Linked DNA regions of Mus musculus. The protein of the gene in region 2 interacts with the protein of the main gene of each other region in a pairwise test. Links are inferred from orthologs where the notes say so. Each region holds a gene or a part of one and is shown on either strand. Other genes may lie near its edges.

Region 1 (4,278 bases), on a different chromosome or scaffold from region 2:
ACCAGCAAAGTTTGCCCAGATCTTGGTATTCAAAGGTCTGTGTGTGTGTGTGTGTGTGTGTGTGTGTGTGTGTGTGTGTGTGTGTGTGATATGTGTGTGTGTGTCTGTTTGTTAATGTGAAGGCCATGGTTAGGGGCTGAGCCACCTCAGCTATTGTTACTCAGACCTATCCACTTTATTTCCCTAGACAGGCCTTAAACTTGCCAAGTATGGCAGACAAGCTGACAAGCAAGTCTAAGGGATCCACCTTCCTCTGTTTCCTCAGCACTGGAATTACAAGTGCATATCGCTATGCAGAGCTTTTTGACATGTATTCTGGGGATTAAACTCAGGTCCATCTGTTTACAAAGCGAGCACTTTATCACTGAGCTATCTCTCCAAGCCCTCAAAGCTATCCCTATGGGTCTATCTGCCCACATCATTGCCAGCATGGCTGACCTTAGTTATTTGGTCTCCAGCATTCCCAAAGGCTATACTGATATCATGCAACCCAAGGCCCCTATCGTAAATAACATTCTGAACATAGACCATCTGACTTGGCTAAAGGTTACAGGAATATGAAAACACTCTGGACTAAGTAGTTTCAAGGGCTTGGAGGCTGACTCTTAGTAAGCAGTCAAGGGCAAAGCCTTCTTTCAAATGTTGAGCTTTCGGACAACTCAGACCTACTGAGTTAATCTTTTACTGTAGAAATGAGTTTGATAAAGGAAAAGGAAACTCTTTTAAGAGGAAGTTGGTTAATGAATTTGATAAAGAACAAATAGAATAAAATGATGTAGAGTTTGCTGAGTTTGGAGCACCTTGACAAGAGCTGTTTCCTGAAAGAGAAGGGCCAGTAATCACATAATAGAAGAACAAAGAGGGGGCCTGGGTTGCTCAGTTGGTAGAGGAATTGGCTCACATGCACAAAACCCTGGGCTCAGTCCCAGCACTGCATAAACCATGCATGGTGGGGCATGCCAGTAATTATAGTGCTCAGAGATAGACACAGGAGGATAGACAGGGCAAGAGCATCCTTGGATATATAATGGACATCTGTTCTCATATGAACACACACACAGACACACACAGACACACACATCACACACACATACACAGACATACATACACCACACAGAGATACAGACACAGAGACACACACAGACATACACACACACACACATATACACAGACATGCACACACATAGACATGCATACACAGACACACAGAGAGACACAGAAATATACAACACACACACACAGAGACACATACACACACACACATACACACACACACAGGCACAGGCAAACAGACACAGACACACACTCACACACAGAGACTCATACACACAGACACAGACATACACAAAGACACAAATACCACACACACACAGAGACTCATACACAGGGCAAGAGCATCCTTGGATATATAATGGACATCTGTTCTCATATGAACACACACACAGACACACACAGACCCACACAGACCCACACATCACACACACATACACAAACATACATACACCACACAGAGACACACACAGACACACATATACACATACACAGACATGCACACACATAGACATGCATACACAGACACACAGAGAGACACAGAAACATACACCACACACACAGAGAGACACATACACACACACACAGGCACACAGACACACACTCACACACAGAGACTCATACACACAGACACATATACACAGACATACACAAAGACACACATACCACACACACACAGAGACTCATACACACAGACACAGACACACACAGAGATACACATACCACACACACACAGACACACACAGAGAGACACATATACACGCAGACACACACACTCATACACAGACACACACAAAAACACAAATACACCACACACCACCTACACACAGAGAGACTCATACACGCAGACACACACACAGATATACATACTACACACACACAGGCACAGACACACACACACATACACAGAGACTCATACACACACACACACACACCCCACACACATACACAGACACAGACACACACACAGACACATACACCACACACACACATATACAGACACACACAGAGAGACACATATACACACACATATACACAAACACACACACAGAGACACATAAACACACAGAGACACATACCACACACAGAGAAAGACACATACATGCACGCAAATACACAGATGCACATACACACACGTACACACATATTCAGACACACACACACAAGACACATACACACACAGACACACTCATACACAGACACACACACCACTCACACACAGACACACACAGAGAAACTCATACACACACAGACAGAGATATACACACAGACACACACACACACACACACCACACACACATACAGAGACACACATACACAGACACACAGAAACACACACACACGTGTGCGCATGCACTTAAAGAAATAAAATTTAAAAGTAAACAATAAAAGATCTTTCATTGATTTTGCTTCATTTCTTTACATGGCAATTCCAAAAGTTCCCTCTTCAGAATTACAGGACTTTTGAGAATCCTTCAGAGCTTGCTGTGAGCCTATCTTCACTGAACAGAATCCTCACCATGAGAACTTAGCATGTAGGAAACACGTTGGCATACAATCAATATGATTATATGTAATCATATGAAAGGCAATTTCTATACAGTAGAAAGTCAACTTTAGTCCTTGCTAACAGCAGTTCAATAGTTTGCTAACATCATGGCTGGGAAGTAACCTTCTTTTCTCTCTCTGTTCTTAGGTCATTTTTGAAGCAGAGCGTGGCAAAGGCAAAACTGGAGAGATTGCAGTGGATGGAGTCTTGCTGGTGTCAGGCTTGTGTCCCGATGACTTTTTATCTGTAGAAGGTTGACTGTCACTGTCCTCCTTTGTAGCTTCATATGTGGCTTTTAAAATGTCATTTCTCTAGGGTATCTTTTTATATCACAGCCTAGGACTCTTCCATCTTATAATTACAAGCTGACAGTGTACAATGTTCCAACAGAAATATTATCATAACATGCCTTTTTTGTATCAAATGTACTAAGACTTGCCTATATATAGTGCCACTGTGCCTTCTCATTTGTTTCTGAATTTTCCACATTTTATTACAAAATGTAGAAATGCTAGCCCATCTCCCCCTGCCCTATACATTTGCTCTTCCTATATAAGTTGGTGAACTTTCCTATATAACAACATAGAATAACAACAACAGAAAATGATAAGTACAGATAAATGGTTAATTGTTGGGGCTGGGAAAATGGCCCAGTGGTTAAAAGTATTCATTCCTCTCGAGGACCCAGGATCAATTTCCAGCATCCACATGGCAGCTCACAACCATCTGGAACTCCAGTTCCAGAGAATCCAATGCCCTTCTGGCCTTTGTGGAAACTTTCATATGTATGGTATACATGCATACACTACACTACACTACACTACACACACACACACACACACACACACACACACACACACACACATACACACACAGAGTAAATCAATTTCTTAAATTGTTTAACTTTCACGGTACTTCTTGGAAACAATGACATTAAACATAGATTTGTGCCTTTGTGGCTCAGCCTGCTCTTTCATAGTCAAGCTTGCTCATTTAATTTTTTTATAATCATATCCAGTAAACGGCCTTGTGTCATAGTAAGATAAAATGGTATCTTACTGACTCTGTTTACTTATGTGTACAATTCTGGAAAATAAATTTTTTTATTCTATCCACTGTTGAAACACTTTGTCATCTTAAAAATTCTTGAAAATTGATTCAAATGGGCTTGGACGCTTCATGTGGTGGAATGCTTGCTTGGCATGCATGAACTGCTGGCTCACGGACCTGATAAATTGGGAATGATGGTGCCTGCATGAAATCCCAGCAGATTTGAAGGTTAAGGTCATCCTTGAGTACACAGTATGTTTGAGTCTAACCTGAGCTACATGAGACTTTGTCCAAACACACACACACACACACACACACACACACACACACACACACACAACACAGAGAGAGAGAGAGAGAGAGAGGTATCAAATCTCTTCCAGAAGGAAGATACTATGTATATTCACCAAGGCTGTTCACTATACACATAGCCCTGAAAAAATAGTACAGGCAAATCTGTCAATGCCTTTGTGCAAAGAGCACAAGGCACTCATATGGATTCACCAGCTACCATCAGCCTCCTGGCTCTCTGGAATCTAGTAGATGAGTACGACAGCCAGAAAGGTCAGCTAGGAACACTGTCTTCTTACCAGTGAACGATACTTTCACCCTTGACACAGGGCTCATGT
Region 2 (4,235 bases):
TGTTGAGACCAAAGTTGCAAATTTCAGACCACATCATAGATTTGTGGCAGAGAGAAGCGAACCCTGTGGCCCTGATACCAAAAGGTGAATTATTAAGAATTAGCATGTCCCTCCTGCCTAAATCCTCTAACCAATGTTTATCCCAATGCCTCCACGGTAGTTTAGAAATTAGAAAGTACCACAGATTGGAAGGTCTGGGCAGCAGCAAGGACCACAAGACTACAGACCCCTTCCTTCCTTTTGCTTTGCTTTGCAGACTGGAAGGGTATGCTCACTGCTCACTGCTCCGATATTCTGTTGTGCTGTGATTCACAGTAGCAAGGGTGAGTGGTACCCAGCCCGTGTCTAGAATCCCCTTGCACCTGCTCTTCCGTTCATCTTTACTCAAGCTGCAGAAGTCTACTGGCTTCCTTTACACCAGGCAGTAGAGGGGGGGGGGGCGGGAGGGGAACTGTATTTCTAGGAACCCAATCCAGGTCCTGTTGATTCTTTCCACATTCTCCGTAATTACTCTCCTCTTGGCGGCTCATCACTTTGATCCACACATGCAGGTGTGGCCTGCATCTGAGACTCTCCCACAAGCTCTTCCATACAAGACAAACTTGAAGTGGCTGCTCATAAGAGCACAGATTTCTGGTGCTGCTCTGGGCCCTTCACCCAGTCCCATCCACCCTTTGTCCCTATGTGGTGTTTGTATAACTTACTGCCTTTCCTTTCCTCATTATATAAAAATGTTAGAACGAAAAAAAAAAAGAAAGAAAAAAATGTCCATGATAATTGTGTGAATGCCAAGTTCGCATTCGTTTTTTTTTTCTTTTGAAAATAGAAGATTAAATGTTATTACTCATATCAATATATGCTATAGCTCATATCAATTCCATTCCAGTATCCCAGTCAAACTGTAGGGACCTCTCTTCATCTTAAGTAGTTAAGTTGTACTAGAACAGGAAAAAAAAAGTTGATAGATTTCCCTAAGGTGAAACAAGCTTAAGGGATATTAAAATCGAGGCAGAGAAATGTTTTCGGTGGCCAATCATGCGGGAAGGCAGGGCATGAAATGAGCAATAACTTATTCATGATCCAGATAAGCCGCCACCCTGCTTTTCAACCACAGGGAGGCCAGGCTCAAAGGGCAAGGGCAGTGCGCAGGCAGCACCACTGCGGCTACCTGGGAGCTGGGTCACCTGAGTCTAGACTGCCCAAAGGCGGTGATCCCTTTGCCAGGGCCACGAACGAACGACTCCCACAGCTGAAGACAGCCCAGGCTTCGGACCGTGGAGGGACTTTCGCCCCCGCACAGTGCGGGGGTTCCTCGCGCTCACCTGCCTCGGCTTGCGCCCTGGGCGGGGCTTCCCGCGTCCCCTTTAAGAGGCCGCATCACCCGCCCTGACGTCAGGGTGTCTCTCCGCACAAGCCCGCGTCCCGCGCCGCGCCCCCGCGCCAGCAGCTCCCGCGGTCGCACGACCAGCGGCGGCCCGGCGACCCCAGCCGCCTCTCCGCATCTGCATCTGCATCTGCCGGCCGCGCAGCCTCCCGCATCCCATCATGTCGGTGGCAGGGCTGAAGAAGCAGTTCCACAAAGCCACTCAGGTAGGGCGCGTGCAGGTGCGCCATGGGCCGCCCCGCAGACCGACAGACAGACGGCGTCCTCCCCTGCAACCCCTCCCTGTTCTGATCTGGTCCCCGCGGGGCGCTGCGCGGCAGCCTGGCTCCATAACCCGGCTCCCTGTCTCCGATCGGTGCTCGCTCCGCGAGTCTCCTCCCTGGCCGCTGCATCCCTGCTTCCTCTTCCCACTCCGAGTCCCTGTGGTCCCTGCCACTCTAGCACTCAGACCTCAGTTCCCTTCCCCTGGCATCTCTGCTCTCTGTCCCCGCTGTCTCGGTTCGCCGCCCACCGGGTTCCCAGGCAGTTAGTCCCTGCACGGCAGCTCTCAGGCTCTGCACGGAGGGTGCCGCGCAGGTGCTTGGCGGCGCGGCGGGAGATTATGTAAAGTCGCCTCGGTGCGGTGACCTTGCGGTGTGGTGTGCCCCACTGTCCTGGGATGTGCTGGCTGGAGCGAGGTTCGCTCTGGAGGCTGCGGAGGTGCCCGCGCTCTGCGCTTGCTCCAGGCTTTGCGCTCCCAGGCCTTCTCAGAACCCCTCCTTCCCAGGCCTCCCCAGGCTCCCAGCATGGGAGAATGTGGTTCCCCTAAGGAGCATGCATGCATTAACTTTTTTCCCTGGAGAACTCCTTGGTGAAGCTTATTTGAGGCCATGGTTTGATCAGTGGTCTGCAAGTCTTTAAAGTTCTCCCACGGGTTTTACTGCGGAGGCAGTTGTTAAAAACTTGAAAATCACTGTTTACTAGATGTGCCAAATTTTCTGTGTGGGGTAAGCTGAGATTAAAATTTAATCCAGACCCACATAATTTAAATCTCATTGGGCCCAACTCAGTGATTTTACAAAGAGAAAATGTCCAAAAATACTTACGATGTGACCCATTTCTTACATAATGTGTGGAGTTACAACCCTTTTATTCATTTGGAACAGGTTAAATTTTAAGATATATTTAACAAGAAACGACTTTATTGATAAACCGTAAAATACTTTTTGCGTAACCATTTAGCTTTAAAGATCCTTATCCTAAGCTAACCTTAATTGTGTGGCTTCTGTAATTTCTTGTTTTTTAAAAACATTACTTTTATCTTTTTTTACAATCCAGCCACTCCCTTCCCTCTGGGTCCCCCCTCCCACAGTTCCTCATCCCATTTCTCCCTCCTGTCTCCAAGAGGATGTCACGCACACCAGGTCTTCCCACTCCCAGGAATCTCAAGTCTCTCGCACATCTTCTTCCACTGAGGCCAGACCAGGCAGTCCTCCTCTGCTATACATGAGTCTCATTACCGAGTTCACAGCCTCAGTACTATTGCAAAAGGCATAGGGAAAAGGTGAAGACTGCATTCCTCAAGTTTGCTTAAATTAAGGTGCAGGATGACATTCACCCCTGAGCATCATCTCTGTCACCATAGACTTAGCATCATCAAATGAGTTCTGTTGGGAACTAATTTAGGGAGACAGGAAACAGTCATTTTAGGAAGTGCTTCTAACTACATATATATTTGGTTTTCTCACTAGAATTGTCTGTGATCTCCCTATTGGAAAGGTAGAGCCAAGTATATTATTCACTTGATTCTGGCAACTTTCCAGTTTCACAGAACCAATCTGTGCTACCAGTGAATGGCATAGGACTGCCCTGATGTCACCCACCTTATTTATTTATTTATTTATTTATTTATTTATTTATTTATTTAGGTACTTGTCTCATTTCTAATCTAGACCAAAAGACTGATTCTACCAACATTCCTTTAGGAGCCTTGGCTTTGGGGAGGGAAAGGCTAAGATTTGAATCCCTCTTCTGCTACCTAGGAAATTGAGCAAGCTAGTTTTCTGAATCCGTCCTTGCCAAAAATGAGACAAAATTTCTCAGGGGAAAAGTAAGGATAAATGAATTTGTAGAGCATATATAGAAAATGCTTAATAAGTGGTAATTGTTAATGTTAAGGATAATTCCTTTAGCGTTAGGTACCATTCCTTTCCACTGGTAATAACGAGACTTGAGAACCCAGCCGGGGCTTCGATAACACACACAGTAACCATCTGACTCCATTCAGCTCATCCTGAGGTTGTGTGCAGCTCTGGAAGCAGGAAAGAACTGGAACGTCATCGGGGAAGCCCCGTCTCCAGGTGTGGAGGAGTTCTACTAGGGACGGACCTGCTCCTTACCACTCCGAACCCAGATACTGGGTCACTGTTCACTGCCATTCTCTTCCTTTGCTGAAAAGCCTTTTTGTTTTAAAGGTGAAGCAAAACACAATCTCATTCATAGCTTAATGGAGCCTAGTCTTTAAAAACGTAAGGCAAAGGTTACTCTCCTGTGCATGGATGTGTTATTCTAGAGGGTGTGTAACGCGAGGTGGTGTTTGCCTGCTCTGAGCTCTGAGGGAAATGGTCCTGTCCTGCTTTGCAGTCGTTTCCTGAATCTGATCTTTGCTGCAGAGGAAGTGTTAGGCCCCTGACTGCCATGCTGGTCAGAGAAGGCAACATCTTGCCTTTCTGTGGAGCTGAGCTTCCACAGAGGGGTGGGTGGGATTTCATCAATAGAATATGCCTTTAGTGTCAGTACCGTTGGGTTAGGGTTCCTAGTTAGAGTGTGCCCCTATGGTTCTCATATTAGAACTTAATATCTCTCCCTTTCA

Evidence for each region. The genes of interacting proteins can lie anywhere in the genome.
Region 1: the proteins of Sh3gl2 (region 2) and Egfl6 interact in a two-hybrid assay, tested with the Homo sapiens proteins (2 studies listed by BioGRID and IntAct). The link is inferred for Mus musculus from reciprocal best matches to the Homo sapiens genes SH3GL2 and EGFL6.

Annotation. Positions count from the first base shown.
Region 1 is NC_000086.7:166,522,440-166,526,717, reverse strand, and holds the end of Egfl6 (epidermal growth factor-like protein 6 precursor), read left to right. Parts: intron 1-2,746; coding exon 2,747-2,857; 3' UTR 2,858-3,711; downstream 3,712-4,278.
Region 2 is NC_000070.6:85,204,032-85,208,266, forward strand, and holds the start of Sh3gl2 (endophilin-A1), read left to right. Parts: upstream 1-1,424; 5' UTR 1,425-1,545; coding exon 1,546-1,590; intron 1,591-4,235. UniProt on the Homo sapiens protein: Implicated in synaptic vesicle endocytosis. May recruit other proteins to membranes with high curvature. Required for BDNF-dependent dendrite outgrowth.